7 linked regions of the Rattus norvegicus genome follow. The protein of the gene in region 1 purifies or fractionates together with the protein of each later gene. This does not show direct contact. Links are inferred from orthologs where the notes say so. Each region holds a gene or a part of one and is shown on either strand. Other genes may lie near its edges.

Region 1 (4,015 bases):
AGCAGGAAGCCAACTAGTCGCCTCCCCAAGACGTGGCCTTTAGCTTTCTGCCCATGGCCAAAACAGCAGCAGCTGTTGCCAAGGGAGACAGGGTGACCCAGAGGCGTGGGCACAAAATCCAGGGATGGAAATCCACCTTTGTCTGGATCCACCCAAGCAACTGGGTCTCACTAGTTGAGAAAAGATGAAAGAAAAGAATCCCAGGCCTGGGAGGGTAGGTCAGCAGCAGAGGGCTTGCCTAACATGCAGGAAGCCCTGGGTTCGGTCATCGGTTGCAGCCAAAGAGCCAACGAATGAACACCCCGCTTCCTTACCTGGCCTCCTAGGCCCAGGCTGAAGGTACCCAGTCCTAGGAGGCTGGGAGCACAGGCATTAGCCTGAACTCTCAGTACCACACTAACTTTTACCTGCCGGTGAGGAAGGCACAGCCTCTCCTCCAAGCTGCCCCCAGCCCAAAGATTAACCAAGAGCCTTGCAGGCAGAAGAGATCTACTACCCACCCCGGACAAAACAACCTGGGAGAAAGGGTACGCCAGATCTAGTCGAATGCTTTGCCTCTCTAAGTTCTGTCACTTTGAAAGCAAGATCGTTCTAGACCTCCGTGCCTTTTCTGTGTCCCGGTTCTGTTGTCCTCCAGGCACGTTCGTGCCTTGTAAATTGTGAAACACTCTGCAGCTTCGTAGTTGATAGCTCTGGAGGAGGGCTCAGAACAGAAAGCGCTTGGGCTGGGTGCACCCAGGCAGATTGGGAAAAGGCTGCGTCTCCAGATCTGACAGAGCCCTATGAAACTCAACCATCCTGCTCCATCGAAACGATAAAGGAGAAGGGGAAACCGGAGAAAACCACCACATCACACCAGGTCCCCTGAAGCCGGCTGGCAGAGGCTCAGAGGCCGAGCAGACAACACACAGCCTTCCCTCTTCAGTAGGATCCACCCACTCAGGTTTGGAGTTGATAAGACTTTTATTTTTGTTTGGTTTCTTTTTTTTTTTTTAAGTCGGCATTCCCACCATATGTGGTGTTTATTTCCAAGGAAGGCCAACCCTAGGTCCCTGTGGACAGACATTGTTTTGTGCCTTACTATCAGGGCTGGCAGCCCATACACAGCTGCCTTGAGCAGGTGGCCAAGGATGGAAGCTACCAGGACCCAGAACAGTGATGACCTCTACTAGTGTAGGTCCTGGGAGCCCTCCCCCCATCCCTCTGCAGCCAGGGACGTCCCCAAACATTCCCACCTGCCCCTCATCTGGAATCAGTCTTTAAAGGTGTCTGAGAAGGAAAAAACAAAACAAAACCAGAAGACTAAAGTGCTCTCACCCCATTGCCCAGACGCGACTATGCTCTAGAAGGCCTTGGGAGCGAAGTCACTGACCCCTTCCATCAGCCATCTGTGAGCTCCCGCCCGACTCCTCTAGCCCGATGGGAAGGATAAAGGAGGTCAGGACAGATGGCAAAGCGCTTTGGGAAAAGAGGCTCTACAGGAATGCAGGGCCGATGGGAGGCCAGCCCTAGGGTGTTTTGTTATCTGCCTGGAGCTGCCTGCTCGATTCTAGGCACCAGAATACCCTGGATTTAAAAGATCGCAAACCAGCAGGGGTGGGGTGGGAAGAGGGAAAGCCCCTACTTTCTGCCACTTGTTTCTCCCGCTTCAAAGTCGGTGCTCTGCTCTCTAACTAAGTGCGTGCGTGCATGCGTGCACAGGGGGCGGGAGGCTGGCACAACCAAATCTAAAAATACTCAGTAAAAATGCTAATCCCAAGGCAAAGAAAGAGCGAAGAAGGAATCTGTCAATCAACGGGCTCCCGCTCCTCACCCACAGCTGTACCGACTGCATTCCTGTAGACGAGGAAAAGAAATGGGGGAACAGAGCTGAAGAAAAGAAAGGGACACACGCCACCACCTCCAGGAGCCCGGGGCGGGAGGCGGCGGAGGAGGAGGGGCTCGGCCGGCAGAGCCGAACAAAGCGGGGCCTCCACTTGGAGCCCGAAGCCCCGAGAGTTAGGGGGCCAAGCTCAGAAGCATCCCCGCTGCCCAGAGGCAGCTGGCGATCGTTAAGGTCTAGAAGCCAAAATGCCGCACGGAAGCCTGGGCTCTGAGCCTGGACAAATCCGAAGGTTTTGTTTGGGGTCCCTCCACCCACTCTCCGTCCCCTACAGGCGCGCGCGAACACACACACATACACACACACACACACACACACACACACACACACACACACACACACACCCTCCCACCCTCCCTCCTTATCCAACACACACACACACACACACACACACACACACACACACACACACACACACACACCCTCCCACCCTCCCTCCTTATCCAACCGGGCCGCGCTAGGGGGCTGGGCCGGCGCGTCCCCCCACCCCTCGCCGCTCTGGGACCCCACCTGGGGATGGTAATGCACTTGGTGTTCACGTTCTGCGTGGTGATGGCCTTCTCCAGCTCGTCCAACTGCCCCGTCTTCTTGAGCTTCTTCACCAAGCTCTTGACCGCCTTCTCGCACCACTTCTCCTCCTGCCCGTTCTGCTCGCCCTTCTTCCAGCCCAGCAGGCGCTTCACGATCGGGGGGGTGAAGGGCAGGATGGACGACATGGCTGGCACGGAAGGGTCACCGGCGCCCCCGGCGGGGCTGGACGCACTGGGGACGCCGGGGGCGCACAGAGGCAGCTCGGCCTGCGCCGCGCCCGAACTTCGCTTTTAACTCTGGAGAACTTGCCCAGGCGTCCCGGCCAGGATAGCGGCACTGCAGTTGCGGGGATCCGGAACACGGCGGCGCCCGAGCGGCTCCACGCGGACCGACGGACTGACGGACAGGCCCGGGACGCGCGGGGCGGAGGCGGCGGCCGCGAGACTCCGAGTGCCAGTAGAAAGTTTGGGTTTCCGCACGGGGTAGCTGTTTGGGTGCCGCCTCCGAGAAGGAAAGTCCAACCCCCAGCCAAACTTTGCTGGCCTGGATGGCTTTGGTGCGCAGATCCCTCCGCCTCTGCAGCGCTGCTGCTCCTCCCCCTGCGATCGCCGCCTTGCAGGACCGGCCAGGGCCGTGCAGCCGTGCTCCCCGCTCCTCTCCCGCCCGCTCCCAAGTCTACGTTTCACGCAGCTCCGCGTGCAGCCTCCTTCCCAACGCAGTCGCCGCCCCCTCGCTGCCGGGGCTCCCCGCTCCTCCCCCGCGCCCTGCTCCGGGGAGGACCCGCGGCCTTCCCCGCCCAGCTCCGCCAAGCGCGCCCACGTGGGCCACCGGGCACGGCGGCCGTCAGCTCTGCCAAGTGCCGCGGGACCCGACTCCTGGGGACTCGCTGCCCCCAAGACGTTCAGATGTAGTTGCAAGGACTAGAGAGGATTAGACTCGCAGGGAACAGGCACGGTCCGCCAAGGGCTGGCTGCACCTGGGAGAGGACCCGGGCGCGGCGAGGGGTTCAGAAAAAGCTCGGGGCCCAGGAAGTTGAGGCGCGCTGATCTCGCTCAGTGGCCGGGGCTGCTTTAGGTGTTTTTTGTTTTGTTTTTGTTTTCCTGCTGGGTGAGATCAGAACGGCTGACTGCCTGAGACTACTGAGGAGGGAGTTGGAAAACGGGAGAGGGAGACTTAAAAGGGGAGTTACGAGACCTCAGTGACAACTTGAACAATAGCTGGAGCCAGGGGTCCTTTGGGACCAGTGAACCAAGCTCTTTACAGAAAAGGAGCCTCAAAGACATCTGTTGCGTTCCTGAAGGAATGAATGCGGGCGCTTTAGGATTTTTCTTTGGGGGAGGGGGAGAATTAACATTACAGGGTGTTACTGAAGATCCGAAATTCAACACCAAACAAGTAAGAGAGCTTTTGTTTACAAATCAGTGAACTCGCGCGCGCGAGCACACACACAAAGTATAGAGCAAGCCTGGAGGACTTAGGAAGTTTATTCAAAGTTAGCCTAGGTGGGAAGCCAAGAGAACCTGACTTGGGGTAGCTCTAGGGCTTTACCGCAGACTGGGCGAATGCAGGGCTGGTTACCCACCGGTCCCTCTACTGATTTGA
Region 2 (3,500 bases), on another chromosome or scaffold:
TCGGGAATGGAATTGCCACCATGGTATCCTGTTATAAAACAGGAAGGTGACCACGGTCCTCAGACCCATTCATTTTTACACCCCAGGTGAGTGAGCCTGAGCTTGCCTAGTGGTTGTGTGCTTGTTTGTTTGTTTTTCCCACCCCTTCCCTGACTGGTTGATTCTTAGTTGGTTTGTTTATCTGTTTATTAACAGCTGTCTTCCTACAGTTCTAGGAATTAAGACTTAAGTCGCTTACCTTTAGGTTTTCCTTGTTAGCTAATGCTAATTCAGAGTTGTTTTAGGCAAGAACATTGGGATTGAATGCATCTTTTGTGTGGGTGTATATAAAATTTCAATCTTGAAGTAGAAATTGAATCAATTTATTTTATCTCAAGAGATGAATGTGTTACTTTGCTTTTTGTTTTATTTTTATTTTTTGAAACCAGTTCTCATTAGGTAACCCTGGCTGGCCTCCTTATGTAGCCCAGGTTGGCCTCAAACTCACAGAGGTCTGTCTACCTGCCTCTGCCTCCTGAATGTTGAGATTAAAAGTGTGTACCCCACATAGTAATTTTAAAAACAAATGGTTGAAACTTGGAAATTTTATAACCACATCTTTCAAAATCAAGAGTTTGTATTTCAATAAAAATCCTAGTTCAGTCTGAACCTTAAAATTCACAGATGTGCACAAATCACTATCATACAGTTTCTTATTAAGTCTTCTAGGCGATATTAAATCCGTAAGGGTTTGTTTAATTTTTAATTAGAATACCAAGTGTTCGGACCTAGAGATAAAGAGTAGTAACACAGGCATCCTGCAGAGAGAAAGTGGGACATCTGATTCTTCTGTCTGTGCTTGGGGCCCTTTCCTTCTATTGAGTCGCCTTGTCCAGCCTTGTGTGAGGCTGGGCATGTTCAGTTGGTATCCCTGGGCGGTCTGCGCTCCTCTCCCCCTTAAAGAAAAATGGAGGAGTGGATCTGGGGGGAAGTCAGGGAGAGACTGGAGGGAATGGAGGGAGGGGAAGAATTAGAAAAAAGAAATTGAGATGTAAAAGGAGATGAAAGTGTAGGGCAGGGTTAGATAAGGGACCGTTTCTCCTCTTGGAAGGTTACTTAGATTCTAAATTACAGATCAAACTCTGTAAAGTGTCTCAAATTTGTTATGTAAGACTCGTAGATGACTCAAGCTCACAGTTACGTGAACTTGGAGAAAAATCAGTGTTGTCCTTTTAGTTTAGGTTTGTAGTGTCTGTTATTGCTGCTTCATTCATAATTTTAAGAGACTGTTCTATGGATTTTGTTGCAAGGATTGTGGGGCAGTTGGGCAGTACTCCTGTGCTCTCGCTGAGGTGTGTAAGGTCCTGGGGCCTCACCAACAGAGCTGCTGAGAAGCCCAGGAGTTGGCATCCGTAGTTACTCGTGTGTTGAGAAAGTAGTAGAGCGCAGGAGGCAGGCCTGGGCTACAGATGTGAGGTGTCAGGCTTGGGCTTCCATCCTTTTTAATTGTCAGGTGGTCTTAAGGAAAGAGGAAGAGACTCACTTTTGTTTTCTAATTTTATTTATTTATTTTTTAGGGTTTTGAAGTTACTCTCAAAATAGCAAAATCCCTCAGTTTTGCTGTCTTAAGTACGGACTTTCTTTTCTGAGAAGTCTTTTCCATGGCCTGGATTCTTTGTGTTTTATCTTGGTTATTCTGGTAGCCCTGAGGGTGTAGAGTGGTGGGTGTCACATCCTAATGCACACTTAGTGTGATGTAATGTGTGCTTTGTTTTCCCTCTGTCTCAGCTACTACTTGTACATGTGTGACAAAGTGGTTGCACCGAATGTGTCGCTCGCCTCTGCTGCGTCCCAGTCTAAAGCGGTCACCAAGGCAGAGACAAGTAAGTCCATCTCCAAACAGTCAGAAAAGCCTCATGATAGTAGTAAGCGCCAAAAGACAGTGTCTTACCCAGACGTCTCACTTGAGGAGCAGGAGAAAATGGATTTAAAAACCAGTAGAGAATTATACAGTTGTTTAGGTAAGTATTCAGAAGTTATGTTTTTCAAATCAGATAGTTAAGAAACACATTTGCTCAGTATTTTAAAGGCTTTTTGTATTTAAGGTAATTTCCCCTTCTGTAACCACAACTTTTACTTTAAAACAGTTCTAACTTTGAAAACTCAGGATGGTTTCTTTGCACCTCAATTGCGAGCTTTCTAGAATGTGGCAGCCTGTGGAGGATGATGAGAAAGGACGACTAGCTCCCATGCAGTGACATTGTCACCTCCCTTTTTCCTTCCCCTTCTTGTTGGTAGAATCCCTTATCTTCGCTGTTTTTTCTTCTGTAAACAGAGATACCACTTACCTGATGTTAAATATATCTGCATTGGATTTGTGGTTCAGGAGGTATAGAATGGGACTGCTTATATAGTAAAGCAAAGTTGGGACAGATAGATGACATCGGTGTAGATCCTGGCTGATACCTTGGAGAAAGCCTGCCTGTTTCCTATGCCTTCTAAAATGCGTAGACCATAGGGAAGGTGTGCATGAAGATACAGCCCTGTTCCATGGCGCATTGCAGCTTAGCCATGCTCAGTGCCATGCAGCTGAAGTATTTAGCATCCCTCGGGTGTCCGTCTGGCAGTCCTGTCTGCATACAGTGTGACAGCTTCCTGTATTTGAATTATTATTGCTGTGATTCAGTTTCTTCTGAATTGAACTATGATAGTAATATAACACTTGCATTCTGTTTGGTTTCTAATTAACTTTCTTTAATGATTAAGAAGTAATGTGAGGGACTAGAGCGCTAGCTCAGTGGTTAGGAGCACTTGTTGCTCTTTGTGAGGACCTGGGTTTGATTCCTAAGCCCCCACATGGTGGCTCACAACTCACCTGTAACTCTAGTTCCATGGGACCTGATTTCTTCTTCTGACCACTGCTGGTACCACATATAAGTACACATGATATACAACATACACACAGGCAAAACACAACTAACAGAAACTAAATTAAAAAAACAAAGTGAGGTAGTTTGGCCTACCATAGAAGTTCAAAGCATACAATCTGTTTGTCTCTAGTGTAACCACCATGTCGTGAAAAGTATCCCAGCTGTTTAGTCCCAGAGCATTGTCATGGCTCCTGTACAGATAGATCCCTGTCATCCTGTGGCAGTGACCCGATGGGTGACTTTAGCTCCTTGACCCTCTGTGGTCTCTATGGATGTGCCTATTCTGGACAGTTTAGATAAAAAGAAGGACAGTGTGTGGTTTTGAGGTCTGGTTTTACTAGGCATGTTTTTCTCTACTGTGTTTCTAGTAGGAACAATTTCTTTTAAGAAAAGAACTTAATGTTTTCCTGCGCTTATGCAGGTTTTGTTGAACCCCTCTTCAGTTAGTAGATATTTTGCATTGTGTCCCCTATGTAGTTATTATGAAGAATACTGCCAACTGGCATGCAAGTTTTAGTGTGGACATACACTTTCAGTTCTTGTTCGTATGCGTTTAGTGGTAGAGTGTATTGGGCTGTGTAACTGCTGATG
Region 3 (4,141 bases), on another chromosome or scaffold:
GCCCATACACGATCCTATTCTTAGTTTCCCACCATTATTCAAAGGTCTGGGCTGCACAGGTTCATAAAAACCAAACTGCCTAGGACAGGGACAGGTACAAGCCTATGTAATACCTGAACTCAGGAAGCTGAGTAGGGACATCACAGTTTTCAGGTCAGCCTTAGCTACAGACGAGCCCCTGTCTCCAAAGAGAGTGGTCAAATGTTGTGGGTAGCTCGTTCTAAGGAAGCCACATAAAGCCACTACAAGAATCTGCCTATGAAATAAATTAGGTTCGTGTCAGATGTGAGTTTTGTAAATATACGCGGCCTTTTTATTTCCTCTCTAGAATGTGTTACCATAGAGATTGGTTTGCTTGCTGGGGAAAGCAAGGCTTTTACTTTTTACCTGCCTAACATTCTGGGGGCTTGGGGGTGGGTTCATCGGAAGGCAGGGAATCGCAAACCCGACTGCTTACTTTTCTGGGTTAGTTCAATTGTATGCAGGTCCCTAACCACAAAACCACCACCTCTCCATTTACATCCTTCATCTTGTTTAGCTGGTCCATATGCCGCACTTCCTGTGAGTCTAGCCACTTTGTCAATCGAATACACCAGTTGCACAGGGCACACCCGACACTCCATCATTGCGGGAAGTCTTCCCTTGGAACTTGCAGGATCTAAACGCTTTTTCTTCAAGAACGATAACGCGTGCCCATGCGCGCGTGCGCGCACCGTTCTTGGGGCTTCATGCAACACCCCGACTTCCATCAGGAGCCTCGAAAAGTCCGACACTGAAGAAACAATCGATTCCGAAAATCGTCGCATAAGTGAATCAGTCGGTTCTGAGTTTGTGACTAAGAACCAGCTCGGACGGCGCCGCTTGTGTGTACATGTCTATGTGTGAGGGGTGGTGGTGGCGGTGGTGTCAGTTTCAAGGCTCCCCGCCGGCTGCAGGAACCTTGCAGCTCCCTAGACCCCTTTGCGCGCGCCCAGGACAAGCGCGGCCGGCGTAGCGCCGTGCTCGGGCGCGCGCACGCACGCAAGCGCGAGGCCGCGCAGGGCCGGGCCGGCACGGCGGCGGGCGCGCGCAGCTCGGGAGGCGGCGGCGGAAGCAGCGAGGGCGGCGGGCGTCCGGCTGCGAGCGCGGCGGCTCCGGGCTGGGCCAGCCAGGAGCGGCTCCGGGCGGCAGCGCGGCTGAGCGCTCAGTTCTACGGTTCCAGCCCGTGGTCTCCGTCCCGACGCCTGCGCCGCGCACTCGGCGTCCCGGCTCGGACCCCGGCGCCCAGCCCGTGGCCGTAACCTTGAGGCGGCGGCGGGGCCGGGCCGGGCCGGGCTGGGGGGCGGCGGCACTGGATCCGAGGCCGGCCGGCCGCTGGCGGGAGATGTCGAACCCCGGGACCCGTAGGAACGGCTCCAGCATCAAGATCCGTCTGACAGGTAGGCACGACAGGGCCGCGGCCCTCGCGCCCCAAGGCGGTCCCGGGGACCCTGCGGACTCCCGCCCCGCCCCTTCGGCACCGGCCGTTGTCCCGGGACCGCTGCACCCCCTACGGCGTGCGCCCCTCGCTCGCGCTCCCGGCCCCGCCCCCCGGGTGCTCTGCAGGCGCCGCCCCTGCCGCCCGGTCCCCTCCCTCTGCATCAGGCCCCGCCCCGTCACATCAGGACACGCCCCGCTGCGGCAGCCCCGCCCTCCTTCTGCATCAAGCCACGCCTCGCTGATCTGCAGACTCGCCCCCTTCCTTAATTAGGCTCAGCCCTGGACTCTTCTGCAGACTCCCGCTCCCTCCCCCTCGCAGGCTCCACCCTTTGATTACTTTGTCGCTTTGTTGCCCCGCCCTATGGCTCCTCCCTCTGCATCATTCCCCGCCCCCTGCTTGCTCTGCAGGCCCAGGCAGTTGGCTTTTTCTGCATTAAGCCTGGCTTGCTGTTCATCCCTCTATCATGGATTCCACCCCTCTGGCTGATTCTCTTACCCCGCCTCTGGCTCCTCCCTCGTCAGGTTCTCTCCTATCCCCTCCCCACTCCCTCTGCCCACATCTATCATCAATTGCATATGGGCCACGCCCCCTAGCTACCTTCCTCTGCCCCTAACCTTACCCTCTGGATCACATCCCGCCCCCTAGCTCCTCCTCTACAGGATCATCTCCTGGCTCTCCTTTCTGCCCCACACCTACCCTCAGCTGCATATAGGTACCGCCCCTCGGGGCGCTCCCCCGGTCTCCTAGTGCTCCTCCCTTCCTGCTCTTCTCCTGGCATTGTACCTCGCTCCTTCAAGCACACACCTACTTTCAATTTCATGTAGATCCCGCCCCCTCGCTGCACCTCCTTTTGCTCTCTCCCACCCCCACCTCACATATCCATCATCCATCTCTTCTCTCACACCCATCCTCCTACCTGCCGTCCCCCTCTAGTGCCATCCCTCACTACCCTCCCACCTGTCCCCTTCCTGCTTCCCTTGCGGCTGGCTTCTCATCACTTCCCCTCCTTTCTTTCTTCCCACCCTCTCCCATGACCTGTTGTCTGCCTTCTCACTTCTCCCTCCTGGTACCTTCGAAGCACCCTACCCCCTACTCGTCTGCTTTGCTTCTCTTTGCTCTCCTACCTCCTCACCCCCTCCTCATCTCCCATCTCTCTAGCTTCCCTCTCCTCCCTTGGCTCCGCCCCCTCTACTGTCCTCCCCTTCCCAGCCCCGCCCTCGTCCCTGCCTGATCCCGCCTTCACTTATCTTTCAGTCCCTCCCACTCGCTTCTGTCTTCCAGCCTCCACCCTTCAGTCGCAAATTCCTCAATCCTGTCTGGGACCAAACGCCTGTCTTGTTCTCACTTCCCCCACTTCATCAGTGGTCCAGGCCTCTCCAGTCTAGTCCACTTCCGTTCTCCCTGAGGCCAGGCCACTCAGTTCTGCAGAGTCTGAGTCTGGTTCCTACCTCCTCTGCAACGCCTTCACCTCCTTGCCACATCCTTGAATCCCCTCCCACACAAGCTGAGCTGTGGTGGCTGCTCTAGTGCAGACTCCTTGCTCCCCTGAGTCTTCAGAGGAATGTGGAGGTTTCCTAGGCGCTCTGTAATGCACCTTCAAAGGTGAGCGCCAAGCTTGGCGGTGGGTCTGACATCATCAGGGTCGTTTAGTTTGCATGCAGGTGAGAGGCGAGCTCTCTGTCATAGCTGCCCCTCTTCGCTGGTCCAGAGTCCAGTCCACTGCCTTCAGCTTCTCCTTCCTTACTCCCTCTCTCTACCTGCAGACCTTACCAGTTTGAGTCCATCCCTAAGGCTGCATGGCAGGGTTGGCGGGCAGAGGGCCTGCCTTGGGGCTTTCCAGCTCAGAAGAGGAAACACATCTTTAAAGTCTGAGGCCTTGCAGGGATTCCCTGGATTTTTCGGTTCCAAAGCAGTGTGGTTAGCCCAAGGCTCTCTGTTTGCCCTTTCTGGCCGAGCCTGGGGGTAAGGCTTTTGATCATGGTGGGAATTCTTGGAAAGTTTGCTCTGTTTAAGAAAAGATTGACACTTTTTCTCTGAAGATGTCAGAGTAGATAACAACTTTTGACCTAGAACCCAGACTCTGGTCATATTGGACATCTTTGTCCCTGGAGACTTGCTCTGGAGGAGACCTGCTCAGTGGATGCCTTCGAGTGTTTCTGTGGTAGTTAGGAAGTTAGGTTCTTTGACACCCATCCTTGTGAAAGTCTGCTCTTTGACACTGGGCTCTGGTTTTAGTTACAGTCCAGGTTGGTTTCTGTCTTCCTGGTATAGTGACTGACATGGGGAGTTTTAGTAGAAATGAGATCAGTGGCTTAGAAATCTTAATTGTGGAGTTTGTGGCAGGTATCTATAAACCGATCCTGGTCAGCCGATAAAAGGGAGGCTTCAGGGGTTAATTTTGGTATTGAAGACTTGGAAAGTATCAGAGTTTTAGGTGACTTTGATGGGGAAGGACTAGGGATAGGTGTTACTAACTCATGGTCTGAGAGCAGCTGGTGTGATGGTAGGATTTTTCTTCCCATGGACCAACTCCCTGGACCCCTTTTTAGTTGTTGAGTAATATGCCAAAGTGCTTTGGAAAGCTGCTCTGTGCAGTAGAAAATAATGTTTCAATTTCTGCATTTGAATCGTATGATTCTAATGACTGTCTTTGTGGTATCTCATAGGAACTGTTTCCTGAGG
Region 4 (3,500 bases), on another chromosome or scaffold:
TGCTTGAGATTTAAACTTTATTTGAAGCTAATTGTGAACTGTCTTTGGAACTTTTGTCATTTAATTTGCATTATCAGTATTTATTAATATCTTGCTTCCACAACTATAGTATGTATAATAAGTTTTTTTAAGACAGGTCATTATTTCGGGTAAAAGGGATAAGAGTCAAATATCAAGGATGGATCTAAATGACACAGAGAGGCTGGCTATTATACTAAGTATAGAATTGTTACAGGTGCGTTTCAAACTTATTAAGTGAAGAAGAATATTGTTTTGTTTTGTAACAGGATTACTGAGTTGATGGGTTATGAGCCAGAAGAACTTTTGGGCCGTTCAATTTATGAATATTATCATGCTTTGGACTCTGATCATCTGACCAAAACTCATCATGACAGTAAGTACAATAGAAGAACTCAAGGAGGTAGTCGCACTGCTTTAAGCCCTGCAGTCTCTACTGTTGTATCTCTAACTTTCTAGTTAAAATTGCTACCCAGTCTCCAGATTCTTCCTAAGACATCTTGATCATGAAATTACTGTTTTGTTACAGCCATTCACTTAATAATACATAAAGCTTCCCTAGAATTTTAAAAACAGAACTAAATAAAAGTCAAATATGATAGATTATCTCCATACACATATTGTGAAATCGATGGCTGGTCAATAGAAGGTAGTCAGAGCATGTGTTCCGTGAATCAGTGAGTGGAATGAGTATTACACACATGTAATTAATATCTGACACTCTTGACATATGCTAAGTTTCTGGGGTTTTTCTCAGATGAAGTCTAAGATCCCAAAGTAAGTTAAAGTTCATAATTTCTCACTGGCCTGTTTAATCTGGACCTAAAAAACTTTCAGATTGAATATCACTGAATTAGTGTGATTTGCCCAAACTGTAGTCAGAGCATAGGTACTCACGATAGCATTATTATGGCTGATTTACTGCATTCTCCTCAGTCAGGAATCAATTTAGACTGCACGAATTGCTGGAAGACTACAGTATGATAACAGCTTATACATTCAAATTTCTGTAGAATAGTTTCTTCTCTGCTGCTTGAGGAAATAGTTGTACCATTTTCTTGAATGAGCTTGTGCCTAGTCTCTAGTCTGACTGTAACCATACATCATTAAAGGAACCGCAGCCACTCTGTCCCTCACTTCTGACTTTCTTCTTTTTCAGTAAGGTAGGAGTTTTACTTTGAGGTTTATTTTCAGTTGTGTTTGGGCTTCTCTGTGAGCTTAAACAGTCACACTATTTTAAATAATAAAAGATATTATTTAAATATCTCTCCTTTTAAAAATAAAACAGTGATCCAGCCAATCATGGTAGCACATACCATTACCCTTACCTACCCCAAAACCCCTGCACTGGAAAGACAGAGGCAGGTGGTTCTCTGTGAATTCGAGGCCAGCCTAGTCTATATAGGGAGTTAAGGACAGCCAGGGCTACACAGAGAAATCCTGTCTTTAAATAAAACAAAATGTAACAATCTACACTTGACACTTATTTGATGGAAAATTCAGTTACATTTTCTTTGTGGTACTTTCTTATCCCTAGTGTTTACTAAAGGACAAGTCACCACAGGACAGTACAGGATGCTTGCAAAAAGAGGTGGATATGTCTGGGTTGAGACTCAAGCAACTGTTATATATAATACGAAGAACTCTCAGCCACAGTGCATTGTGTGTGTGAATTATGTTGTAAGGTAAGCTTGGAAAGAGACACTTTTGTGAGAGAAAGTGGTAACTCTTTGGATTTACTGTGCCTTTATTAAGAAGATAGAAAATTGGCAGGCAGTGGTAGTACACATTTTTAATCGCAGCACTTGGAAGGCAGAGGCAGGTGGATCTCCATAAATTCAAGATCAATCTGGCCAATAGAGTGAGTTTCAGGACAGCCAAGGCTACAAAGAAAAACCCTGTCTTGAAAAGAAAAATAAATAAAAACTTTTGTTTTTATCTTTTTCTACTGCATTATGAGCTATATCCTGACCCATCTTCTCAAGCCAGCTGTTCCAGTGATCCCACAAAATAATATCATTCGTTTATCAGTCTATGGATCAATTTTCCTAGTTCAGTTTCCCAAGAAGGTTAAATGACCATCTTTGTGACAGGCTGTATAATGTGACCTGGGACTTTATTCTTTGTTTATGAACTCTTAAGTTATTTCAGGTCAATTCCTCTTCATTACCGAAACATTTTCATCTGCTGGCCAGACAGAGCGCTCTCCTGTGGTTAGTCATTTTCTTACGTTCCATACTCTTTACCCTGTCTCACTGAGTAGGCTTGACTGGCCTGGAACTCGCTGTAAACCAGTCCAGCCTTGAGTTCATAGCTTACCTACTCTGTGGGATTGCAGGGCTGCACCAGAAGTTTCCAGCACAACTTTCATAGATGCCACCAAATCCAAGTTACCCCACTTTGGCCATTTAGGGGGGCATCTTAAAACTTGTAGTTTTTGTTGTTGTTTCTTTCAGGGGGATATTTAGTGCTAGGATCAAACTTAATAATGCCTTACCACTTCTAATCACAAAGAGTTCTCTTGTGATTTTTGCCTTTATGTAAAATTATTTTTCTTATCTCCCTCATGATTGTTACTGATCCCAAGTTTTGCTTATTAGCCTTTCTGTGAAACATCCTTTCTTCATTGTAGTAGTGATCACAGGATATTGAAACTGTTTATCTGTTTCCCATTGAATTATAAACTGCTTGAAGACAGTGTTTTATGCGTTCATCTTTGTGCTCAGCCTCATTTCATACATTGAACATTAATATGCTAACTGGAGGACCTTGATGCAGACATGAAGCTGAGTGGACTTTTCATCATTTCTCTTTCTTCTTTCCTATCCTGTGAATGACATCCCCATATTATTTCCACCAAGAAAACATGATCCCCCTCATTAAGACTGGAGCCATTATGGTATTCTAAGATTATCTGTAGACGTGCCTTACGTATTCATGCTGAACAGTTATTTTGTGCCTCTTTCATTGTAGCATCAGGACAGAAGTCCTCTCTGCTTGTATCCTCCACGTACTTTAACTGTAGATGTTCTCGTCATCGCCTCTATTCTCAATGCTGTTTCAATTTAAATAAGTTGAATATTTTAATTAGTAAATTTCGTTTGTTTTTATCTTCATATTGGTGTTTTAAAACAATAAATATTTCTCAATAGTAGAATACTTGCCTAGCATGAACAAAGTCTTAGGCTCAATCCTCAGTACTGGGGGAAAAAAGAAATGTTGCAAGTATGCATGAAAGATGATTCATCTCGAGGAATGTTAAAATGCTTTTACTATATAAATCATATTTTATAGTCCCCCTACTGTCATTGTTTCAAGTGCTCTTTATAAATACTAATCTCTCTTTTTTGACAGTGGTATTATTCAGCACGACTTGATTTTCTCCCTTCAACAAACAGAATCTGTCCTCAAACCAGTTGAATCTTCAGATATGAAAATGACCCAGCTGTTCACTAAAGTGGAATCTGAGGACACGAGCTGCC
Region 5 (3,500 bases), on another chromosome or scaffold:
CCACCACTGAGGCAAGGACTGTATCCCTGAGCTTCTGTCTCAGCTAGTTAGTGTCTACTAAGGCAAGAACTTCAGCTCTTCAAGAGAAAGAAGAAAGGGAAAGAAGAAAACAGTACTACTCTTTTAAACTGAAGCCCAGTGTCTTCAATTGCCCTGCACAAAAGCACGGCTATTATTTTAACTCAGGACAATATTCTGCTCGCTGTTTTCTTCGGCCAAGCCCCTGCTTGCAATGCACATCTGGTTTTCAGAGACCTGGTATCTAGGGCATCTGGATTTGACTTCTTCCCTTACCCCTAAAATGTCGCTTTATCCCTCTCTCGGTTTACCTACCTACACAGTAGAACTACAGAAACTAGGTGTGGTTAGCCCTTGTGACATTAGTTGATATTAATAATAATTAAAAAAAAGTCCAAATATTTGACAAAAGAGGAAAAAGTAATAAATCAGGAACAAATAAAATAAAAACAGAAAAATATCTGGCACCACTAGGCATTGAACAATGGAGCAATTACTCAGTCATTAACAGTGACTACACAGGGACATGAGACCTGAGGGTCGGCATCGAGAGCTCTGAGGTAGGGCAGATGCAGTGAAACAGGCATCCTCTCTTTTCTAGAAAATTTGAGTTGTCTGTGTGTGTCCGCTGGAGGCAGGGAAGTGCTGAGTCATTGTAAGAACTTAGATTCAAAGCAAATAAGATTGCCAAACAATAGCTCCTAATCTACAAACCCTGGTCATTCTGTACAACCCAATATAGTTCAATTTTCGGGAATACAAAAGAATTCTTAAGAAAGCTACTGTGAAATAAAAACGTGAAACAACTGATGTGACCCCCGTCACTCTTGGAGAGGGCGGAAGAAGAGAAGTCAGGCAATGTGTTCATGCAGGCCACAGTGCCACCAAGGCAGGTTGTCCACAGCAGGCCATTTGGAGAGCAGAACGGGTTACTTCCTGTTCTGACCTTCTGCGTGATAATTTTACAACCATTTGAAGAGCAGTTCCTCTATTTGTAAATATAAAAATCCACGCTACTTAGTACATATTCCTGTTGCTAAGCGTGGTGTGCAAGTGCCAGACTGAATAAAGTATGGATATTAATAACTTTTTTTAAAGGTACACTGTCTGGGTTGAGTTAGGAAGAAAAGGACATCAGAAACTCTTTATGATTGACTTCCCCAGCCCCAGCCCCAGCCCCAGTCCCTGCCCCTGCCCCTGCCCCTGCCCCAGATAATGTCTCTCTCTTGTCTCAGCCTCCACACTACATCCTCCTGCCTGAGTCTCCCAGTGCTGGGATCACAGGGGAGCTCCTCCACAACCAGCTTGCTGCCCACTTCAAAGACCAGAGACACCACACATGGAAAAGGAGACAGGCGAAAGCTTTTCAAATGGCTGCACTCTGGAAATCACTTCAAACATCTCACAGGAGCAACAGGAAAGTTTGCTTTTTCTTTAAAAAAAAAAAAAAATAGTGTCTTATACATACTGATTCCAGGAATGCTTTCTATAGGAATCTGCCGAACTCCATCTTTGAAACATGAAAGTCCAGGGTAGACTTTTCGTATCTGAGCTTGTTTCCTTTCAATAAGCTTTTTAATGATCTGAAAAACATGGGGGAAAGTGTGATTAGTCAAAGAAGCCACAGCACAGACCAGGACAAGTCAGATAAACCAAAGACGGTGTGCCTGGTGCTGTACATATTTCAATAGGACGAAAAGGGAAGGAAGGCAGAGTACACACTAGCAGGTAAGAGACAAAAGGGTTGTGAGGCCAGAGGACTACCACCAAGTCCAAAGGCCTGAGAGTTCAATCCCTGGGACCCCACATAGTGAAAGGAGAGCACCATCCCCAGGAAGTTGTTATCTGGCCTTCACACATACATAGGTATGTGAGTGCCTTCACATAGGTGGTACATGCGTGCATATGCATGTGCGTGTGCATGTGCGTGTGCATGTGCGTGCGCGTGCGTGTACACCTACACATCCCACATAAATCAATACAATACACAAAGTTTAAATATATCTTTTAAAAGAAGTATTTTTTAAATACCATGCCCATCTAGTAACATTCACCCAGCCCCTTGCCACTAAGGAAAAAACCATCAGAGAGAAGAAGGAATGGGGCCGGTTAGAGAGGTTAGCAGGGGCCCCTCTAGGCCCAGCCTCTTGCCTCACATATGGACTGAGATATAAGAATCACACTCCACAACAACCTATTCACAGGCATGCACACAGGCAGCCATGCGCCTCCCTGCCTATCACCTTTTCTCCCACTCTTTCTACATGGTCCTGTCCACTCTGTGTCCTTCTTATTCTGTGCTGGACACGGACCTGATCTTTGTTCATCATCACCCCAGTGCACACACACAGGTATTCTATGAAGCTATCGCACCTGTAGAGATGGCTCTCTCCACCTTCAGCTGATTTGGATCAAGCATTCATTCCTGGACTAAAAGAATTCTCAGTGTGCATCACTCATTCCGTACTCAATGGGCTCTCCACAAGTGGAGTCTCACATTTTAGACGATTTTGGATTTTCTCATTAAAAATGCTCTATCAGTAAGTCAATAAAAATATTGAAGAAGGAAAAAAAACAGATTCTAAAATACTCGGTTCAGGAGCATTTTGGACAAGAGATGCTTAGCCTGTTTCTACAAGAAAATACTTCTTTTATTGTGGCATGGTTGCAGCTCTCTTTTAACAATCTAGTTCACGGGGTTGGGGATTTAGCTCAGTGGTAGAGCGCTTGCCCTGGGTTCAAGCGCAAGGCCCTGGGTTCAGTCCCCAGCTCCGAAAAAAAGAAAAGGGGAAAAAAAAAAAAAACAATCTAGTTCACAACACTGAGAATAAGGCTGTGAGGGTACAACCCCAAAGGCTCAGAGACCATCAAAGATGAGAGGGCATGGAGAAGATGAAGGCAGGAGGAATGTTGTGAAGGGAAGGCTGCTCAGGACACAGACCACTGACACAAAACGTACGCACATGAACACACAGCAGCAGTGACTCATCACCTGCACGAGTGTTACAACTTGCCTCACTGAGAGGGTAAGAATGCCAGATGCCACCCCCTTAGACAAGAAGCTAATGGAACTGATGGCTTCAGAGGGAGAGTCACTTTTCTTTGTAAGTGTGGCCATTGATAGGTTGTCAGCGCCTCAGTGGATGACCCCATGCATGGGTGTTCGTGGGCGGCACTAACTAGAATTAGTGATTCAGGGGTTATTTTTTAAGATATAAAGTTGGGAGTCATATGGATGATATATTGATGCTGGGGGGAGGAGCAGAAGGTAGATATGAGCAAGATACTTTGTATATGTGTGGGGGCAAAAAAGCTAGGTTAATACTCCAAACACTCTTCCATTCAATGGTGTGTGTGCGAAAAGACCAGAGACAAAAAGGGTAAAAGAGAAAGGGGGGAGCCAAGAGGAACAGAAAAGAGGAGAAGAGAAAGACATGCCTTTTTAAAAAAAAATGAAAAAAATCTAGCCATATGAAATAGCT
Region 6 (3,500 bases), on another chromosome or scaffold:
TGATCGCCTTAGCTTGGGTCGTGTCTATATAAACCACAAAAACCTAATCATTAGAAATCCCAGCCTCCAAAAACCACATTTTAGGTAAAAACTGCTGCTTTTTTCCCCCCACACCCCTTCATCTCTCAACCACAACCTTTTGGGGATTCCAAAATCGCCTACCCCCAAAACGCCGGGAAACAAATACATAAATAAATAATTACTGAACCATTTTTTACCTTTTACTTTTATTCCTCCAAAGTGGGGAGCGGCGAGGAAGACAGTTTAAGACACTAGACTTAGTCTGAGACGAAGACTGGACTTAATAAAAGATTGGAAAATTAATGGATAACCGCTGTGTATTTCCCCTTTCTCAGCAAGCGTTTTTGCAACTTACAACTTATTTTAATTACCAAGCTGTCTTTTTTTTATTTCTTAAAAAAAAAAAAGCAACCCATCCTTATTCTCCAGTAATGACAAGAAGGACTGTATAATAAAAATGTCCAGACATCCGTTAGAGTTTCTAAAACTATTTTGACATGCCCTCCTGTCACCCTTTTCTGATGTCACCTAAGGGGGGAAAAACCACCCCCGAAGTCTGTAAAAACCTTCCCCCCCCCCCCGCCCCAGCCAATGTGGGGTGGGGTTGGGGGGGAAGGGTGAAGAGTGCTCAGAAGTCAACTCGGACACTTGAGAATTTTCCTTCCTCCACTCCTGAAGTTATAACGAAAAATTAACGTCAGCAGGAGCAGCCTGAGACTCTCTAGCTTCTCAGCTTCATCGTAGTCAGATCGAGAAGAGGTTCTTGGTCCTGGGGGTGAAGGGGGAGCGGAGGACGCAGGCGGCGATGTCCTAGGCGGGGACCGCCTCCTTCCAACTTCGGGCGCCGAGCGCAGCGTGCCGGCGCTTCTGGCGGCCGGCGGGCGGCGGCAGCGGCTGCGATCCGCAGGCTCCAGATCTGTCGCCCCGAGATCCGCTCCCCCCCACCCCCCACTTACCTCCGGGCACCTTGAAACGCCAGGGGGGCCCGGGGCACTTGGCAAAGAGCTGGAGGGACCGGGCTGCGAGGTAGACGGAGGCGAGTGAGAGGGAGAGAGAAACGGGGCAAGGAAGGACTCGGCGGCCGGAGGACTCGGAGCGCGCAGGCAGCGAGGGGAGCGCGCAGCGGCCTCGGAGGAGGAGAAGGAGGCGCCGGCAGGCGACGGCGCCGCGAGCTGGACAGCCACGCTCGGCTTGGCGGTGGCGGACAGCGAAGGGTCACACGCGCCGCCGAGATGGACTGCTGAACCTGCCGGGCTCCACTACGGAACTGGAACCGGGAGTGGGTCGTCAGCGCACCTAGGACACGGTGCCCCGAGGGGCCCCACAACTGCATGCTGCTAACTTCAAGTCCCTTGCCTCGGCTGGGACAAACACGCCCCCGAGTCCCGCTCGCTGCTGCCACCGCCGGGGGCTCCCAAGCCTCCCGGTGGAGATCGGCCCCGCTCGGGTGTCCCCACCCGCCACCCGACTGTACGGGGTCGCCAGCCGCCGGCCCCCAGCTGACTCCGCCGGCACTCGGCTTTCTCGAACTTGATTTTCTCACCTCTTCTGTCCCGTCACCTCCATCCTCTTCCTCCCCCCTCCCGCCCCCGTCTCGCCTCCACCCCCTCGATTTCCTCCACCTCGCCCCCCATTTCCACCCTCCTCCCCCTCCCCCGGCCACTTCGCTAACTTGTGGCTGTTGTGATGCGTATTCCCGTAGATCCGAGCACCAGCCGGCGCTTCAGCCCCCCCTCCAGCAGCCTGCAGCCCGGCAAGATGAGCGACGTGAGCCCGGTAGTGGCTGCTCAGCAGCAGCAGCAGCAGCAGCAGCAGCAGCAGCAGCAGCAACAGCAGCAACAGCAGCAGCAGCAGCAGCAACAGCAGCAGCAGCAGCAGCAGGAGGCGGCCGCAGCAGCAGCAGCGGCAGCGGCGGCGGCAGCAGCGGCGGCAGCCGTGCCCCGGTTGAGGCCGCCGCACGACAACCGCACCATGGTGGAGATCATCGCGGACCACCCGGCCGAACTGGTCCGCACCGACAGCCCCAACTTCCTGTGCTCCGTGCTGCCCTCGCACTGGCGGTGCAACAAGACCCTGCCCGTGGCCTTCAAGGTAAGAGACTGGTTACCCCCAACCCCTGGCCAGGCCCGGTGGAATCTTCCGCGCTGTGGTCTCGGTGCCCGTGGGTGCCCTCCAAGACTCTAACCTTGGTGGCCCCACTCAGAGGACCGAGGTGGCCCTGATCTTCTTACCCCGCAGCGGTCACCGCGAGCAGATCCCCCTTCTCACCTGTGCGCCCACTACCATCTCAGCCTAGGTTCCCTTGCTCGTTCACTCTTCACGTCTCCCAGGCATGGTTCTTGCCTCTTTCCCTGCTGGGGCCCCAGACGCCCCGAGGTGCCCGCTGTGAGTTGCAAACTTCCTCCAGCCCCCTTCACCCCGGGGTCCCCGCACTCCTCCCGGACATCCCGGCTTCCTTTCTCCGGGATCCCGTGCGCTCCTTTCCCCGCAGCCGCAGGCCGCTACCCCGAGCTAGGCGTCCCTTTCCCGGATTGGGTGCCGTTTGGCAGTCCCAGCTGCTCCCGGGCTTGGCCCGGATGCCCGCAGGGTGCCGGTACCCGAGGGCGCTTGTGTCTGGGGCGGAATGAGGTGCCAGCCAGCCTTGGCGCGTAGGTTGAGGGTGCTCAGTAAACTTGGGATGAACGCGGGAGAGCGGGGACGGACGGGGACATTCGCGCCCTCCTTGGCCGGCTCCAGTTCCCGTTACTTGGAGGAAGGCGGGGCCGCCGGGGTCTCGGCTTCTATCGAGGCCCGGCAGCTGCGGGGGCTCGGGGCGCTGGATCTCTGAGTGCGGGAAAGGGAGTGAGCATCGGGGAAGGGGATCAAGGCTCAGGCTGCCTCCTCCCGCCTCACTCCTCCTGGGAGGAATCCTGTGGTGGAACTTCGGTTGGTCAGAATGAAACAGAGGTGAAAACTTTATTTGCCTTGAAGGAGCCAGAACCCCCAGATGTCCCTTCTTGGGGAGGTCGGTGGGTGGCTCCCGCCGGAGGCCTGGGCTCCAAGGTGCGCTCCCGCGGCCTCCTCCGCCGAGTCCGTTAGCTTGCCAGCACCCATAGCGGTGGGAGTCACGCGCAGCTGCGGACAGGTTGAAAGTGTGCGGGTCCCCAGTCTCTGGTCATATCTGTGATGCAGTTTGGGGTTCCGGCGCCATGAGAGATGGTGGTGGTGGTGTGAAGCACCCTTCCAAGCCCCCTCCCCCCCAGAACAGACTGTGGTGGATGGGTGACTGTCCACTCTCGCTGGTCCAGACGCTAGGGATGGAGTTTGGGAGCCAGCAAGAGAAATGAATCCATGGGTACATCCAGTTTTAGTGGGTGAGCCTGGGACCCAGCATCTGTGTAGAGCAGGTTAAGAATGATCTAGAAAGAAAGAAAGGGAGAGAGAGAGGAAAGGAGAAAAAAAAGGCGGAATTGTGCCAATTCCTTCATCTCGGACACCGG
Region 7 (4,087 bases), on another chromosome or scaffold:
ACCCCGCCATCATGCACGCAGGGCCTGATTTCGTTTTTTGACAAAATGGAGTGTGCTGGGCTGAGGTCAGAGCCAGGCTGAGGTCTCGACGCTTTCCCAGTCGGGTCCCAGATTGTGTCGCTTCTGGGTCTTGAAATTGGTCGTTGTAGACAGGTCCACCGCCACTGCCAACGAAAATGCAGTCGAATTTCCAAAGCACCGAGGGAAACATGTGCGTTCGTTGCAGCTGTCCAGGGAGGAGCGCGCGGAGTGAGGGCGGCCCTCAGTGACTGTGGGCCCTTTAGCTGTATGTACACCCATGCCAGGCTTAGGAGACGGGACAGGGAAGATTTGCTGTCATTTCCCCCCCAGGAGGGGCTGGGCCACCAGGCAGAATAACAATGGAGACCCCAGGGTCGAATTCCCACAGGGCACTTGACAGCGCTGTGGACTCAGCGGACTAAGGCTGAGAAGATGATGGCTCGGCCCTGGGAGGACCCCTTTCTATCCACGGGGAGAAAGCGGTCCGGCTGCTCGCTAAGTCATCGACAGTTTTCTTTCTGTCACAGACCCGCATCCACTTCCACTACACCGGACGGTATACTGCGTGCGTGTGTGGTGGGGTGACATGACTCCAAAATGCACACCGTTGTAGGCCCTGTTGTGTTTTTCAAAGAGCCACGCGCTGCCTCGACAGAGAACAGCTCCACTAGGCCTGCGCGATCCTGAAACCAGTTTTGAGTGGGCAGGAACAGGGTGGTTGTCCCCATCCCACTGCTGGTCCGTGTGACAACCCCCATTCTGTCTGCCTCGAAGGTTGACACAGAGGCCACAGAGGCGAGGGCCAAGGCCCCGCAGAGCTGTGGAATCCTTCGTGGGGTGGAAACTCTAGGGTCAAAATCGTTTGTGGAGTGGAGGGAGTGAGGAACCAGTCTTTGGGTGTCACCGCGGTGACCAGCTGAGGGTGCAGGTTCCGGGCTGCGGTGACTTAGAGTTGAAGCAGCCAGGCTGCGACTCGAGGGAGGGGAACCGAGGCGCACCCAGGAGGCTGGAAACCGATTTTTGCCCAGGTCGCAGCGGCTGCTCCTGACTCCAGGGGACCGCGGCTTCCGCGCGGCTCCCGGGACCCGGGTGTCTAGACCCTCCAGGGAGGAGCCTGGCCCCTGCTTGGCTCGCGCGGGCCCGAGCCACCCGGTCCTCCACGGCGAACCCCGAGCTTGGGGGCTGCGATTGGCTGCGCCCCGCGTCGCTCGCACGGCCCCGCCCCGAGGCCCCGGGTACTAACCCCGCGCGGGCGGCCGCGGCGCCGCCACTTGATTCTCTAGGATCCAGGCTGGGGCCGCGGCCGCTGAGTCGGTGGGGCGGCCGCGCGCGCGGGATGCGGGACTAGCGGGCGCGCGGCCGACCGTCGGGGCGTCCCCCTTCCCGGCGACGCCCCTCCCCCGCGCTGGCCGGGCCCCGAGCCGCCGCCTTCCCGCCTCCCGCTTCCCGCGGCTGCGGCCGCCCGCGCCCTGACGGCCGCGGCATGCGTATTCCCGTAGACCCGAGCACCAGCCGCCGCTTCACTCCCCCCTCCACGGCCTTCCCCTGCGGCGGCGGCGGCGGCGGCAAGATGGGCGAGAACAGCGGCGCGCTGAGCGCGCAGGCGGCCGCGGGCCCCGGCGGCCGCACCCGGCCCGAAGTGCGCTCGATGGTGGACGTGCTGGCCGACCACGCGGGAGAGCTCGTGCGCACCGACAGCCCCAACTTCCTCTGCTCCGTGCTGCCCTCGCACTGGCGCTGCAACAAGACGCTGCCGGTCGCCTTCAAGGTGAGTGCAGGGGCCGAGCCGGGAGGACACGAGAGAACCTGGGCGCCCCCAATGCAGGAGCCCAGACAAGGGAGGACTTGGGGAGACCTAGCTGCTAGGACAAGGAAGGGGATGTCACCCAGCTGGCAAGACACCGGCGTGGTGTACCCGGGCGCCCCTACTGCAGGATCCCACTCCCGGAAGGACCCCCCGCTGAACTCCAGGCGACCCCGCAAGACTCAGAGAATACGGGAGGTACTGGGGTGGGAGGAAAGGGGATCACTCGGCTAGCAGAACACAGGAGTGCCTGGTCACCCACGCTGCAGGAGCCCAGGCCCGGCAGAACATGAAAGGAACCTGGGTGTCCCCGCTGCCTGAGCCCGGGTCCAGAGAGAAATATGGTGACATCAGTCAGGAGAGATACCAGAAGGGCGTCCAGGAGAACTGGGCGTGGGGGGTACTCCCGCCGCTCCCACTACAGGAGCCAGTACCCGGAACCCCGCGCTGAGAACGGTGCACCGCGGCCTCGCTGCCCGCAGGACACGGAGATTTGGGGCGCTCCTTCTCGGTTGCACTGACAGCTTGACGGGGCTATATCCCGCTCCACCTGGCCTTCGCAGGGCCCTGCACAGTGCATGGAAACCGGCGGGCTGGGACTTCCAGATTCTTTGGCACAGCCTAACCCGTAACCGGGATGAGGACCGCCAGAGCTGGGCGAGGACCCGGGAGGTGTAGGGTGCAGAGGGCGAGGAGGGCCTGGCCTACCCAGCGGCAGGCGCCGAGCCTCCTGCTCTGCTGCAGAAACACTTCCTTCCCACACTCTCAACGTCGCCGGCTGAAATTTTGCACAGGGCGGCCGTAGGCCGGTCTTAAAGGGCTGCCTCCGACCTTCTGCATCCCTAATGATAGGCAGAGCCTTGGGGAGCGCCTCCATCCTGTTTGCCCGGAGTCCTTCAGAGAATTTATTTTTTCAACTATACCAGGGATAGGCAACTGTTTCGTTTTCTTCTTTCTTTCTTTTTCTTTTCTTTTTGTTAAGGGGGGCAGCCAGATGAAACGAAAACGCCTTGGTTTTCCCCTAAACCTCTCGCAGCTGCCGTGAGAAAGGACAGAGTAGGAAGGACAGCGACTGGGGAGGTAGTGATGCCCGAAGCGGCTGGAAACGCCGGCTGCTGGCAGCTGAGGTCCTCCTTGCTCCCATTAAGACTTCAAATTGGAAAAGGGGGGAAAAAAAGACTAGTGACTCTTTGAGGTCTCCCGGGTGACATCTTAAAATACCAGCGGGGGAAATCTCCCGGGGAGGAGGGGAGGAGGGGGGAGGAGACCCGTGTGACTGTAATCGTCAGATCGGAGGTTTTACTGTCACTTGGAGCTTAAAAGGAATCTTTGAAATTAAAAGAAGACAGGATGTTGACAGGAAATCTGGCCTTTTTAATCAGACCCCAAACATTTTCTCCTTGAAATCTTTACCATCTGGATCTCCAGTCCCTGCACACGGCAGCCACGTTTAAATGGCTGTGACTCTGTTTAAAGTCTGGTTCAAAAAGCATCTGCCTCTTGATGCGCCTTGGGTGGGAAGGAGGGGGGAGAGATGACATTTAAGGGACATCTCCGCCCACCCATCCAACAGTTCCCAGCAGGTACAAGCTCAGTTATCGAAACCACCCGGCCTCTGGCCCCAGGTTTTCTAGATCAACTTGCAAAGCAGCAGTTTGGTTTGCATTTTGCATTTTCTCTGCAGAACGAATCCAGGCTCCGCTGAGGCCATCTAACTGGGCCTTGGTCACACTGCAGGACCATATTTCGTACCCCAAAGGGCCAATGCTTTAACTGATTGCAAGGGTTAGCCCCGTTATTACGGTTGCCGATTCTTTGGCGGAGAGCAGTGTAGCCTCCTTGCCGCCCCACCCTTACCTGTGACCTTGCTGATTGACAGCTCTGTCTTAGACTTAATTTAATAAAAACGGGTGCCTTCTTGGGGCTCTCATCAGTCACTGGATCCAAGATTTGGGTATGGGGGTTAGAAAGTTCATCATTTTGGGTTTGGTTGTGTTGGGAACGGATCTACACACCATTAAGCCTCTACCACCCCCGACTCAGAACTCCTCAGCGAGCCTGGGACTCAGGCAGGCAGCTGCGTGAGCCCCTCCTTTTAGCCTTCCTAAGCAGTCCTCTTTCCTCAGGTGGTGGCACTGGGGGATGTTCCTGATGGAACGGTGGTGACCGTGATGGCGGGCAATGACGAGAATTACTCCGCCGAGCTGCGCAACGCTTCCGCTGTCATGAAGAACCAAGTGGCCCGGTTCAACGACCTCCGCT

What was found.
Region 2: the proteins of Smad3 (region 1) and Skil purify together in Homo sapiens (affinity purification with western blotting; 6 studies listed by BioGRID). This does not show direct contact. The link is inferred for Rattus norvegicus from reciprocal best matches to the Homo sapiens genes SMAD3 and SKIL.
Region 3: the proteins of Smad3 (region 1) and Smurf1 purify together in Homo sapiens (affinity purification with western blotting; 3 studies listed by BioGRID). This does not show direct contact. The link is inferred for Rattus norvegicus from reciprocal best matches to the Homo sapiens genes SMAD3 and SMURF1.
Region 4: the proteins of Smad3 (region 1) and Hif1a purify together in Homo sapiens (affinity purification with western blotting; 4 studies listed by BioGRID and IntAct, with this or other methods). This does not show direct contact. The link is inferred for Rattus norvegicus from reciprocal best matches to the Homo sapiens genes SMAD3 and HIF1A.
Region 5: the proteins of Smad3 (region 1) and Kat2b purify together in Homo sapiens (affinity purification with western blotting, with the first as the bait; 3 studies listed by BioGRID). This does not show direct contact. The link is inferred for Rattus norvegicus from reciprocal best matches to the Homo sapiens genes SMAD3 and KAT2B.
Region 6: the proteins of Smad3 (region 1) and Runx2 purify together in Homo sapiens (affinity purification with western blotting; 3 studies listed by BioGRID). This does not show direct contact. The link is inferred for Rattus norvegicus from reciprocal best matches to the Homo sapiens genes SMAD3 and RUNX2.
Region 7: the proteins of Smad3 (region 1) and Runx3 purify together in Homo sapiens (affinity purification with western blotting; 3 studies listed by BioGRID). This does not show direct contact. The link is inferred for Rattus norvegicus from reciprocal best matches to the Homo sapiens genes SMAD3 and RUNX3.

The regions. Positions count from the first base shown.
Region 1 is NC_086026.1:73,129,525-73,133,539, forward strand, and holds the start of Smad3 (mothers against decapentaplegic homolog 3), read right to left. Parts: upstream 2,801-4,015; 5' UTR 2,599-2,800; coding exon 2,393-2,598; intron 1-2,392. UniProt on the Homo sapiens protein: Receptor-regulated SMAD (R-SMAD) that is an intracellular signal transducer and transcriptional modulator activated by TGF-beta (transforming growth factor) and activin type 1 receptor kinases.
Region 2 is NC_086020.1:114,183,073-114,186,572, reverse strand, and holds part of Skil (ski-like protein), read left to right. Parts: coding exon 1-86; intron 87-1,767; coding exon 1,768-2,000; intron 2,001-3,500. UniProt on the Homo sapiens protein: May have regulatory role in cell division or differentiation in response to extracellular signals.
Region 3 is NC_086030.1:14,747,702-14,751,842, forward strand, and holds the start of Smurf1 (E3 ubiquitin-protein ligase SMURF1), read left to right. Parts: upstream 1-1,341; 5' UTR 1,342-1,363; coding exon 1,364-1,418; intron 1,419-3,067; exon of another isoform or gene 3,068-4,141. UniProt on the Homo sapiens protein: E3 ubiquitin-protein ligase that acts as a negative regulator of BMP signaling pathway. Mediates ubiquitination and degradation of SMAD1 and SMAD5, 2 receptor-regulated SMADs specific for the BMP pathway.
Region 4 is NC_086024.1:98,394,398-98,397,897, forward strand, and holds part of Hif1a (hypoxia-inducible factor 1-alpha), read left to right. Parts: exon of another isoform or gene 1-287; coding exon 288-394; exon of another isoform or gene 395-1,555; coding exon 1,556-1,703; exon of another isoform or gene 1,704-3,073; intron 3,074-3,372; coding exon 3,373-3,500.
Region 5 is NC_086027.1:6,893,145-6,896,644, reverse strand, and holds part of Kat2b (histone acetyltransferase KAT2B), read right to left. Parts: intron 1,602-3,500; coding exon 1,487-1,601; intron 1-1,486. UniProt on the Homo sapiens protein: Functions as a histone acetyltransferase (HAT) to promote transcriptional activation. Has significant histone acetyltransferase activity with core histones (H3 and H4), and also with nucleosome core particles.
Region 6 is NC_086027.1:23,741,558-23,745,057, forward strand, and holds part of Runx2 (runt-related transcription factor 2), read left to right. Parts: intron 1-208; exon of another isoform or gene 209-1,288; intron 1,289-1,682; exon of another isoform or gene 1,683-1,707; coding exon of another isoform or gene 1,708-1,723; coding exon 1,724-2,112; intron 2,113-3,500. UniProt on the Homo sapiens protein: Transcription factor involved in osteoblastic differentiation and skeletal morphogenesis. Essential for the maturation of osteoblasts and both intramembranous and endochondral ossification.
Region 7 is NC_086023.1:152,676,359-152,680,445, forward strand, and holds the start of Runx3 (runt-related transcription factor 3), read left to right. Parts: upstream 1-1,287; 5' UTR 1,288-1,504; coding exon 1,505-1,789; intron 1,790-3,951; coding exon 3,952-4,087. UniProt on the Homo sapiens protein: Forms the heterodimeric complex core-binding factor (CBF) with CBFB.